Rhinolophus ferrumequinum: one gene and its partners. The protein of the gene in region 1 purifies or fractionates together with the protein of each later gene. This does not show direct contact. Links are inferred from orthologs where the notes say so. Each region holds a gene or a part of one and is shown in the gene's direction. Other genes may lie near its edges.

The links.
Region 2: the proteins of ATXN7L3 (region 1) and TAF9B purify together in Homo sapiens (affinity purification with mass spectrometry; 5 studies listed by BioGRID and IntAct, counting the BioPlex papers as one, with this or other methods). This does not show direct contact. The link is inferred for Rhinolophus ferrumequinum from reciprocal best matches to the Homo sapiens genes ATXN7L3 and TAF9B.
Region 3: the proteins of ATXN7L3 (region 1) and TADA3 purify together in Homo sapiens (affinity purification with mass spectrometry; 6 studies listed by BioGRID and IntAct, counting the BioPlex papers as one, with this or other methods). This does not show direct contact. The link is inferred for Rhinolophus ferrumequinum from reciprocal best matches to the Homo sapiens genes ATXN7L3 and TADA3.

The regions. Positions count from the first base shown.
Region 1 is NC_046304.1:39,289,682-39,293,424, reverse strand, and holds the start of ATXN7L3 (ataxin-7-like protein 3), read left to right. Parts: upstream 1-1,232; 5' UTR 1,233-1,355; intron 1,356-2,089; exon of another isoform or gene 2,090-2,286; intron 2,287-2,707; 5' UTR 2,708-2,767; coding exon 2,768-2,818; intron 2,819-3,115; coding exon 3,116-3,248; intron 3,249-3,451; coding exon 3,452-3,623; intron 3,624-3,743. UniProt on the Homo sapiens protein: Component of the transcription regulatory histone acetylation (HAT) complex SAGA, a multiprotein complex that activates transcription by remodeling chromatin and mediating histone acetylation and deubiquitination.
Region 2 is NC_046284.1:75,558,477-75,562,219, forward strand, and holds the start of TAF9B (transcription initiation factor TFIID subunit 9B), read left to right. Parts: upstream 1-1,046; 5' UTR 1,047-1,123; coding exon 1,124-1,174; intron 1,175-1,777; coding exon 1,778-1,859; intron 1,860-2,183; coding exon 2,184-2,320; intron 2,321-2,404; coding exon 2,405-2,539; intron 2,540-3,357; coding exon 3,358-3,433; intron 3,434-3,743. UniProt on the Homo sapiens protein: Essential for cell viability. TAF9 and TAF9B are involved in transcriptional activation as well as repression of distinct but overlapping sets of genes. May have a role in gene regulation associated with apoptosis.
Region 3 is NC_046300.1:44,119,702-44,123,444, forward strand, and holds the start of TADA3 (transcriptional adapter 3), read left to right. Parts: upstream 1-1,052; 5' UTR 1,053-1,169; intron 1,170-1,351; exon of another isoform or gene 1,352-1,854; intron 1,855-2,551; 5' UTR 2,552-2,572; coding exon 2,573-2,779; intron 2,780-3,743. Other genes in the region: ARPC4 (actin-related protein 2/3 complex subunit 4), read right to left, coding at 952-954. UniProt on the Homo sapiens protein: Functions as a component of the PCAF complex. The PCAF complex is capable of efficiently acetylating histones in a nucleosomal context. The PCAF complex could be considered as the human version of the yeast SAGA complex.

The DNA.
Region 1 (3,743 bases):
CACCCAGGAGAGTAGCACTGGATCAGGAGAAGGGTCTGACTGGTGCCAGGCAGGCTGTCTGAGAGGTGGGGGGTCCAGCGTGGGTTCCGGAAGCAGGAAAGGAGAGCAGGTGTGGGATCTAAATTAGGATGAGGGCGAGGAGGACGCTTCGCTCAAAAAGGCACAGCTCGGCCTCCACCCTCAGCGGAGGACCCTCATCTCGGGCGTTTGTTGATTCGCAGGCCTGGAATGGGCTGAGACCCGTCCAGAAACCGGGAACGGAGGTTCGGACAAACCCCTTCGGCATCGTGGGTTTTTTGCCCTGCGGTGCTAACTGCACCCCACTTTAACTCCGGCCTCTTCACAGAAGTGGCTGCACGGTTCAGGGCAAACGCCGAGGTGGGGGGGTGGGGGGGAAAGAGAGCCGGGAACCCCGAGGGAAGGGCGGGGGAGCCTGGGCCGGAAGGCGTCCCAGGCTCGGCTGGGAGCCGGCGCTCTCTTTAGACGCCACCCGCTGCCCCCGCCCCGGAGCCGGCCGGGACGGCACAACGTCTCCGCCCCCAGCGCACCGCGCACCTCACCTTGAACGCCGCCCCACCCACCGCCATCCTATTGGGCCCGCTTGGCCGAAGAGAGATGGCGATTGGCCGCAGTGTCTCCCGAAGGCCCCGCCCATATCCCCGCCTCCGTCCCCGTCCGCCGGTACTTTGGCCGGCGGCGTGGCGCCCCTCCTCCCCGCCCGGTCCCCGCCCCCTGGAGCAAATGCTGCCGAGCTGCGGCCGCGGGGCAGATGCACGCGCTCGGGCCCTTCTAGCAGGCGCGAGCCATCGCTGGGCGCGCGAAAGCGAAAGAAGGAAGAGGAAGGGAGGGCGGGGGCGGGGTGTTGAGGAGGGGCGGGAGGAGGAAGAGGAGGAGGTTGGAGCGTGCTCGCGCTTGGCCTCGAGCCCGCGCGGAGGGAGGGGGAGAGGGGCGCGCGCGCGCACGCTCGCGCTCTCGCTTGCTCCATCCATCCATCCTCCGGTCGCGGCACGCGCGCGCGCTCCGGGCTCGCGCCGCACCCCCCGCCCGGGAGAGGCGGGCTGGAGTGGGGGGCGGGGGGAGGGGCGCGCGGACGGCGCGCGGACTGCGCGCGGGCGGGGTGAGGTGAGGAGGAGGAGGCGGCGACGGGACGAGAAGGGAGGGGAAGGGGCCATGGCCGCCCGGTGAGGCGGCGAGGCGGGGGGGTGGCCCGACCCCCCGGCCCCGGGCCCTGGGTCCCGGGGAGAGGCGAGGACGGACCGACGGACATGGGGCTCCGGAGCAGCCGCCGCCGCCGCCGCCGCCGGAGGACGCGGCCCTGAGAGGCCGCCGGGCCCCGGCGCGGCCCCCCGGGCGGGGTGAGTACGGGACGGAGACAGGGACGGGGGAGGGGCCTGCGGGGGGCGGGGGGCGGGGCCCGAGGCGGGGCTTGGGCCCCCTCCCCCCAGGTCTGGGTCAGCGCCCCTTCCCCTCCCCCCGGGCCGACGCGGAAACGCCCGGCTTCCCCCGGCTTCCCGGCCGGGCCGGGGGCCCCTTGCTCTCCCCCTGTCTGGGTCCCCCCTGGGCGGGGCAGGGCCGGCCGGGGAGGGGGCGCGGGGCCTTTGTTAGGGAGCCAGGCCCCAGCCCCCGGGACAATAGAGACACCCTCCCGGACTCCTATCCCCGACCGGTCAGGGCTGCCGGCGGGTGGGGAAAGAGAGGGGCCGGGACGCGTCCCACTTTGCCCACTCTCTAGGGGTCGGTCTGTCCCGGACCGGCGCCGGCCTCCGGTGGCTCGGCTCTCCTCCCCCCAGTCGGTATGATGCAGCAGCAGTGCCGCAGGGACGGGGGAAGAGCCGAGGCCCGGCCTCCTACCCTCCCCAGTGCCCCTGGCTCATTTGTCAGTCCCCACCCCACTCCAGGCCGGCAGCTCCTTAAACTCGCACCCATCGTTCAGAAGGGCCCCAGACTGTGGGCAGTGTTTCTGAATCCTTTGGTGGGAATTCCTGGACTTTGGGGCTCTTGGGGAGACTTCCGGGCAGGTCCTGAGGGAGGGTGGGTGGTTATCTAAAAGAAGAACAGGTAAGGGGAGTGCCCACTCCTAGCATGCCATCCCACTGGGCTCTACCCCTCTTGCTCATGCTGGCTAGAAATGCCCCTTTCGCTCTAGGTTTCTGTGGACTCTGCTACTCTCCTGTAGTGGGAGGCTTATTTAAAGGGAAGACAGTGGGGTGAAGGTTGTAGGGTCCTAGGGCTTCCTACTTCTGGTAGCAGTACCCCCCCAAGTGGACATCCTGACTGAAAACAGAGGTGACTCTGAGGAGAGCCTGGGGCAGGGGGGAGTGTATTTAGGAGTGTGCAGTTCTTTGCCACACCCTGTGGGTTTGCTTTGAGGCATTAGAGTTCCTTCTCCTCCCCCTGCTGCATTGCACCATGGGTATGGAAGAGGGGTTTGAGTTTTGGGGACCTGGGGTGAGCTGCTGCCTCCTATAGACCCAGACTCTGATTGGCAGTAGAGTCCAGGGCCTGAGTTGAGGCCTGGGAAGGAAGAACTAGGTTGTCTTTGGTTTTCAGGCCCTGAAGGACCATCCAGACTGAGTGAACCTAGGCCTTAGGGAGGGGTATATCCTGATGCCAGGATTACACTCTGGGCAGCGAGGTGTGGAGGGGAGGTGGCGATGTTCAGAGGTGCCTTGGACTCACACCAACACCCCCATCCCCATGTGTGCAGCCGTGTTGCCGCCCGCTGTGCTATGAGCAGTCAGAGCGCCGTCTCCACAAGAGTTTACAAATGAAAATGGAGGAAATGTCTTTGTCTGGCCTGGATAACAGCAAACTAGAGGTGAGGGCTCCCCCACGTGTGCCTCTAGTTCTTTCTCTTGATGTCTCTACGTCTCTATATCTGGCATCCACACCAAAGAGGAATTTGGGTAGTTCAGCCTTGTTCCTTAAAGGGAATAGCCAGCTGAAAAGGCCCAAGGATCCGGAAGAAGAAAGAAGGCAAAGTCAAGATGGGGAAAATGGCAAAGGAAGCATTATTTTTGGCCAGGGTGAATTGGCAGGAGATTTGGTTGGTGAGAATTGCTCTCAGTCCAGGGCTGTGACTCTTGTGACCGTGGCTGTTCTCCCCTGGGCCCAGGCCATCGCTCAGGAGATATACGCGGACCTGGTCGAGGATTCTTGTTTGGGATTCTGCTTTGAGGTACACCGGGCTGTCAAGTGTGGCTACTTCTTCCTGGATGACACGGACCCTGATAGCATGAAGGATTTTGGTGAGCTTCAGGGTGGAAGGAGAGCGGTCTAGTCCTGCCCTGGTAGTGCTTGGAGGTTCCTCCTCTGGAAACTGCACCAGATGCAGAGCCTAGAGCTCCTGTGAGCTTAGGCTGGGGGTTTGAAGAGGCCATGGGGCCACGGGTGGGAACCAGAGGTGAGGGTCCCCTGCCTGCCCTGATCGCCACGCCTCTCCTGTCCCCAGAGATCGTGGACCAGCCGGGGTTGGACATCTTTGGACAGGTTTTCAACCAGTGGAAGAGCAAGGAGTGTGTTTGCCCCAATTGCAGCCGCAGCATTGCCGCCTCCCGCTTTGCTCCCCATCTGGAGAAGTGCCTGGGAATGGGTCGGAACAGCAGCCGAATCGCCAACCGCCGGTGAGGGCTTCCCCCCCTGCTAGAACCAGAGCTGCTCATCCTTTGCAGCTTGTACTATGGTGTAGTCCCCTGTGGGCATTTGTAGGGTACAGAGAGAGGGTGGGTCATGCTTGGCCCCAG
Region 2 (3,743 bases), on another chromosome or scaffold:
CCTATCTCTGTAGTCCTAGTGAGTAAGGCTGTTGGCTTGAACTGTTAGCATTGTAGCACTGGATGGAGATGCAGAGACACAGACTTTGGGATGTCGCCCTGACAGAACTTGCTGCTGGACTGAATGTGGGTTGTAGGAGAAAGAGCACAGTACGGCTGACTGCTAGAGTGTCTTTCCTGGGATGGAGAATTCTAGCACATTGGTGGATTGAGGAGTAAGAAAGAGTTCTCTTTGGGACACTTTAGGCCAGAGACGTTAACTGATGCACGTTTTTCTTAAGTCACTCAGGCTGTCCTGTGGAGAGTGGGGAGGGGAGGGCATCTGGGAGGCAAGTGAGGGCCCTGAATTGGCCTCAGCAGGGACAGAGAGGAAACTACACAGGGCCAAAGGACAAGGCTGAAGGGGCTCCAGAGGAGAATCTTGCAGGTAGGTGGTCAAAGGCTTCAGCTTTTCATCGGTATGAAATAGGCAACCACGACAGGGCTTCAAGTGTGACCATAGCTGACCAAAGCCTTGCTGTGTGGAGAGTAGGATATAGGGTAGAGTTGCCAGATTTAGCCAATAAAAATACAGAAAGCCCTGTTAAACTTGAACATCAGATGAACAAATCATTTTGTAGTGTTAAGTATACACTGTGTACTGGTTGGGATATACTTATGCTAAAAATGTATTTGGTGTTGATCTGATATTCAAATTTAACTGTGCGTTCTACTGTTAACCAGGCAACCCAACCATAGGGGCAGGTGGAGGCAGGGCCCCTGCAGGCATTCCAAGGAGACCGAAAGGGCCAGAGTGGCAGGAGGGGAGGTGTGAGGAGAGGCCCCAGAAAAGACAAAGGTGGTCCCTTTGGTGCCCTTTTCCGGAGAACAGCTCTGGAACACACGAGTTTCTCAGCTCTTCCAGGTGTTGGCCGAGGGCTTCTCTGGGAAGCATTTACCCTTATCTTCTAGTCCTCCGGAGCCGGCCGACTCCCCTTCAGCCTCCCCCGGGCCCGGTAGCGGCTGGGAAGAGGCGGCCCGAGGGGTGGCGCGTTAACCCCGCCTTCCGCACCCCGCAGGGGTGGAGCCTGAGCGAGGAGCCTGCGAGCAGCCTTCTCTCCCCGGATGACTAGTGGCAGGAGAACATGGAGTCGGGCAAGATGGCGCCTCCCAAGAACGCTCCGAGAGATGCCTTGGTAAGTGCGAAGGATGAGCGGTGGGTCGCGAAGCTCCGCGCAGCCAGAGACCTGGGAGACAGGCCCAGGCCTAGGGCCTGAGGATGGGCTCGCGTGCTGGCTTCAGCCCAGCCGAGGCGGCAGGAAGGAGTGTGAGATTGGGGTGCCCTGGCTCCGGGGCGCTCTCCCGCCATCCCGGCAGCCCCGCCGGAGTGCGCAGTCCAACCGCCCGGGTTTGTCTCCCGGGCCTCGGGTCGCGGCCGCCTCGTCGTGTCGCCTGGTCTGCGAACCCTGACTCTCGTGTCCAGGATTCTGATGCTAGCTCTCCCCATCGCCACATCCAAAAATGACAACCAGCTGTAGCCACCCCGACCTCTGCTGGGAAAGCCAACCCGGGCCTCTTCGTCCCCGCCCCCATCCCCCGCGGAAAAAAAAAGTTTTCAGGAAAGAGGGTACGAAGGGATTTGGTGTGATCCTGACACTCACTTGGGAGGAAACGGCTGAGTACAAGTTTGGAGCCTGTAGAAGGGGGACCCTGTATCATAAATATAAATACTACCTTTGGTCCAATCTTGATTTCCAGTACCTAGATTATGCATCTGGCCTTTTTATTTGAATCCACAGGTGATGGCGCAGATCCTGAAGGATATGGGAATCACTGAGTATGAGCCAAGAGTTATAAATCAAATGTTGGAATTTGCCTTCCGTAAGTTGATAACACCAAAAAATTTTTGCCTAACTTGTGAATTTGAAAAGATCCTTTTATTCTAAGAATATTTTCAACTAAATTACTTTAACAGTTAATATCTTAGAATTCAGCCTAAAGCAGTAAAATGGAGCTCAAGCTAAGGGACAACAGTATTTATACTGTGGTATTTTTCAAAAATTGATCGTATACATAGGACAATTAGGTATTAGAACCAAAACTCATAAACTTTCTAGCAATTAATGGAAACTTCCATTAAGAAAACTGGCCATAAATATTAAGCTGTTTCCATATGTTTAAGAAAATAATGTTTTGTTCTTAAAGGATATGTGACTACAATTCTGGATGATGCAAAAATTTATTCGAGCCATGCTAAGAAACCCAATGTAGATGCAGACGATGTGAGACTGGCAATCCAGTGCCGCGCTGACCAGTCCTTTACATCTCCTCCCCCGAGAGATGTGAGCAAACATTTATTTAAAGTTCATTTTATTTATAATTTTTTCATTGTAGTTCTTATCAGTTTTTTTTTGTTTTGTTTTAAGTTTTTACTGGATATTGCAAGGCAGAAAAATCAAACCCCTTTACCTCTGATTAAGCCATATGCAGGACCCAGACTGCCTCCTGACAGATACTGCTTAACAGCTCCAAACTATAGGCTGAAGTCCTTAATTAAAAAGGTAAGAATTGTTAGTCAGTTTAGCTTTTTAGAAAGGTGAGATGTGTTAGAGAAATTTGTAAAGAACAAATGCCTGTAGATAGTGCAGTAGATTAAAGGCTAAAATAATTTACTAGGATATATATACTTTTTTAATTTACTGCAGTTAGCTGCTATGTTAAAATACAAAATATAAGACCTAAAGTTTTTAGAGCTAAAAGGAACTTTAGTGTTCATGTAACCCAACGCTTATTTTTCACATCAGGAAAGTGAGCCTAAACTCATCCATGGAGTTAGTAGCAAAGCTAGGGCTGATTCCCAGGTTTCACAACTCCCAATCTTTCCACTTGAACATAGTTTTTTAGTGAAGCTCAATAACAGAGTAAATGATATACCATCAGAAATTAGACTTGCTTTCTGAAATATGACCTAAGGCTCTCCCACCACTGAAAAGGTGCTCCCCATATTGGGCTCCCTTTGTTGTCTGAAGTTCCACTGTAAGAGAATTTATTTCTTCTTGGGTTAAGATGTTGACTAGTTAAGATTGAAAATGTTAAGGAAGTTAGCTGTTATCCCCAAATAAGATTCTACCGTAACCTAAGTACTATACAGAATTCTGTGTGTGTGTGTGCGTGCACGCACACTCATCTGTTTATATATATGTCTGTGAAAACCCTAGTTTAAATGTTGGATTCGGAACACTAATAGAACAAAAACAGGGCATTCTTGCCGTGGGTTATCCATTAATAATTAACATCAACAATCCTAATTTCATTCCTATTAAGTTTAGGTGTCAAATCTGAACAACATTAAAACTAATTTGTTTGTTAAATCCCATAGGGACCTAACCAAGGAAGACTAGTTCCACGGTTAAGTGTTGGTGCTGTTAGTAGCAGACCTACCACTCCTACTATAGGTAAGTGAGAGAGGGAAATGCCTTTTCTGGCTGGTAAAGAAGAAGTGCCTCAGCACTTGATTTTGAACTATAATCCAAGTCAAAAGGTGAGTCAGAAATTCCCATATGTGTGTTGACATTGATACATTATTCATCCTATAGTAAAGCTATAGACACACAGTATTTTATCAGATTTCAAAATGAGAAAGCTTACAAGTATAGATTTGGACATTACCCAGCATTGTTGCTGGTATAAAGTATGATACCAAAAACAGGAGTTTAAGCTGTGTTCTTTCTGCCTTCTATACAAATGAAGTTGCCAAACACACTC
Region 3 (3,743 bases), on another chromosome or scaffold:
TGAGGTGATGGGAATGTTCTGTGCCTTGATGGTAGTGGTTACGTGATTGTGTGTGTCAAAATTCATAGATGATAAACCGGAAAAGGGTGAATTTTAGGTGGCCAGCCCCATGACACCTGCCCTTTCACAAATAAAACAGTCTCATGCAATACCTCAATAAACCTGATTTTTAAAAAATCAAGAGGTATGGCCAATTTAAGAAACAAAGAAGGAAGAGCGAGTTTAGGAGAAAAGAGGAGTTTTGATCTGGAGGTTTAATGTCAAAGTATCTTCAAGATATCCAGGCAAACCTTGGGAGACACCAGAATACACAAGGTCATCAAAGCCAAGGGACTAGACAGGTACATTACTCCCAGGAACGTACACATTTATCAAACAGGAGGATTTCCAGGGAGAGAGATCAGCAGTATCAGATCTTACAGTAAGGCAACAACGTTTTTGTTCTGACCAGGAAGGGGCTCGGGTGGAGGCAGCTTAAGAAATCCTTCAGTACGGTAGAATCAAGGTAGGGGGTAAGGAGAAGAGTGGGATATGGAAGTGTAGACGCTTCCCTGGGGAAACTAGAGAGTCTGGCGGGCAGGAGAAAACAGAGCAGTGCATTTAGTGAAGTTCTATTCCGGGTGGGGAGGTAGCCCTACCACCTGAGCGCTAGCTACTACGAGCCTAGGAGGTCTCACTTCCGGCTTCCTCCATGCCTCAGGTATTCCCTACCTGTCTCCAAAGACAGACTGTGAAGTCACCATGCCTACTTCTTACGAGGGCGTTCCCCGCTCGCCCCTTCCTCCCTTCGACCCCCACCCCGCCTTCTTTCTCCGAGCCTCATCGTGCCCCCAACTCCCCAGCATCCCTCGGCCCCAGGCCTCTCCGCTGCAAAGCCGTATCTCCCCCAGACCCACAACTCTGAGACAGAATGGGGGGGGGGGTCCCTGGCCCGGGGCCCGGCTCTCTCACCATCGCGGGCGCTGGCTGGGCCGGAAAGCGGAAGTACGGAAGTGGCCAGGCCCGCGACGCCTGCCCTTTCGCGAGAAGCGCAGCCGCAGTCTCCGCCCGGACTTCCGGACAGTACCATCTGTGCTCCGAGCAGGGTGAGGAGAGCCTCGGAACGCTGGGTCCCTTGGAAGTTTTCCCGCTAGGACTGCCTTGGTATCTTTAGACTGCTGCAATTTCAGGTCGGTACTCAAGCTTCTCCCGTTATCCATGCAGCTCTCGCTTGTGACTTTGGCTTTCTTGTCCTATTTGCCGCTTTCTTTCCCCATAGTCATGCAATGGTGCCGCCCGGCCGAAGGTTGGGCACCATATTTGGACAAGGCGAGGCGGAGGAGCCCTGCGTTCCTTCCGGTTCTGCGCCCCCATCCTTCCCCCGAGCCCCTCCTACCGGCTGCCTCTGGGGCTCGGCGGAACTAAATGCCTGACCGAAAACCCGGCTGCCGAGCCCCGCCCTCCAGCCCTTGGCTGTTCCCTCGGGTACCCGCGGCGTAACCCCCACCCCAATTGCAGTGGTCCAGCTCACGGCCCGCAAACCCTCCCCCGCAAGGCACCGTGAGCTCTCCCTCGCGTTTCTCCGCCCCCGCGTCAACTGCAGGGGCCCCGCCCATAGCCAGTTGCGAGCGGTAGATCCGACCAACCGGAACTCCCCACCCCCTCTCGCGGCCCGGGGGCCGTAGGAGGCCAGAGTGTGGAGGTAGAGGGGGCAGGAGCCGCGTTAGGGGTCTCGAGTGGACGGGGACCCTGAAGGCGGGGCATTGGGGCGACCCACGGGTGGAGCCAGCCGTTAAGCAGTCCCACTTCTGTGCCAGGCACTGAACTGGGCTCTTGACGAGCATCATCTTTTAATCCTCAGAACATCCGGGGGAGGTAGGTACCATTATTATCCCCATTTTACAGATTCAGACTTCTTATGGGGAAACAGACCCACACTACTTTGTCCCCATTTTGCAGTTGGAAAAACCGAGACTCAGGAAAGTTAAATGGCATATTCAGGGCCACATACATAGAGAACGGCAAAGTTTGGGCTTGGACCCAGGTATGTCTGGCTTACCATATCACATTCTTAACCACTGTCGGGCAAAAATAACCGGCAAAGTGGGAAGGAGTGAGACAAGGTGAAGCAGGGAGGCACAATTGAGAATGGGATGCTTGGAGCTCAGAGGCTTAGCAGAACTCACGAGAAGAACAACAAAAGAAAAGAGCATCAGGAAGACGTGGCATAGTGTATCATGGTAGTGAGGGGCTCAGACTCAGAAATACCTGGATTCAAAGTCTTGGTAAGCTTGGGCATGTACCCACCCTTACAAAGTCTCAGTTTCCTTATCTGTAAAATGAAGAGCACCATGGTCCCTGCTCAGAGGGTGAGGAATCAGTGAAAAGCTGGTAAGATGTCTGCACCTTGCTTGGTGCACAGTGGGTGCTCTCGGAGTAATAGCAGTGCCATCAGTCTTGTCAATAGGGTACTGAAGTCGGGCTTTCTCCTTGAGGCTGTTCCTGGATGGAGGGAACCCTTGGGCTTTCCTTGTGCCACTTTACCTCCCATCAATGTCCCTCTCCTTTTCAGCTCCGCAGGGTATCCTGGGCCATGAGTGAGCTGAAGGACTGCCCCTTGCAGTTCCACGACTTCAAGTCTGTGGACCACCTGAAAGTCTGTCCACGCTACACAGCAGTGCTGGCCCGCTCTGAGGATGATGGCATCGGCATTGAGGAGCTGGACACTCTGCAGTTAGAGCTTGAAACCCTGCTTTCCTCTGCCAGCCGGCGCCTGCGGGTGCTGGAGGCCGAAACTCAGGTGATACCCTACAGAGACGACGTCACCAGGGGTAGACTGATAAGTTATGGGATGGCTCATTGAGTTCGTCCCATCTGCTAAGGCCTGGGGTACAGGAGGTTGCAGGGGGGACAAATTGGGTTCTAGGGACACAAAATAAGCAAGAACATGTGTGATCTCCATAAACTGCAAGATTTCTAAGCATTTATTGACAACACAGCCCTCCCGCCCCCGACCCACCCCTTATGTTCTGGGTCCTGTGCAAGTCATTAGAGAAAGATAATTAAGACAATTCTGGCCTTCAGGGAGTTTGCTAACTATAAGTGGTGGGGGGCTGGTTAGACAAGTACCAGGTGATGTGTTATGGTTAGGGGGAATAGGGGAACTGGAATGAGGAGAGGATTTGAATCCTGGACTAAGCACTAGTTAGTGTTAGTTTCCTAGCTCTGTGACTTTGGGAAGATTACTTCCTATTTCTGAGCATGTTTCCTGTCTGCAAACTGTGCCGAATAATAGGACGTACCAAAGAGGATTTGTGAGGATTAAGAGAGGTTTTTTGTTTCGGTTTTTTTTTGCGAAGTCTGAGCCCAGTTTCTGACACTAAGTCAGCATTTTAAATGTTAGTCATTGGCACTACTCTCATCTCTCTTCACTGCATAAACATCCTCTGGGGCCTGTGTGCCAGGTGCTATGCCAGATCCTGGGGGACAACTGGTTAAGATGAGCTTCCTGGTCTCCAGCAGCTTATAATCTAGTCAAAAAGATAAAGTATGCTGTGCATTTTAGTATGTCCAAACAAGATGTTTGGGCCTACAGTGAAGGTGCAAAGTGCCAGGGACTCATAGAGGAAGAAGATGCCATTTCAACTGGACTTTGAAGTATGAAGAGCGTTGACTTGTGGTCCCTGAGAATCCACTGAAGCTTTTTGAACAGGGTTGTGGCACAACCCGTTGTATTTTAGTGTCTAAGCATCAGGTAACTGATG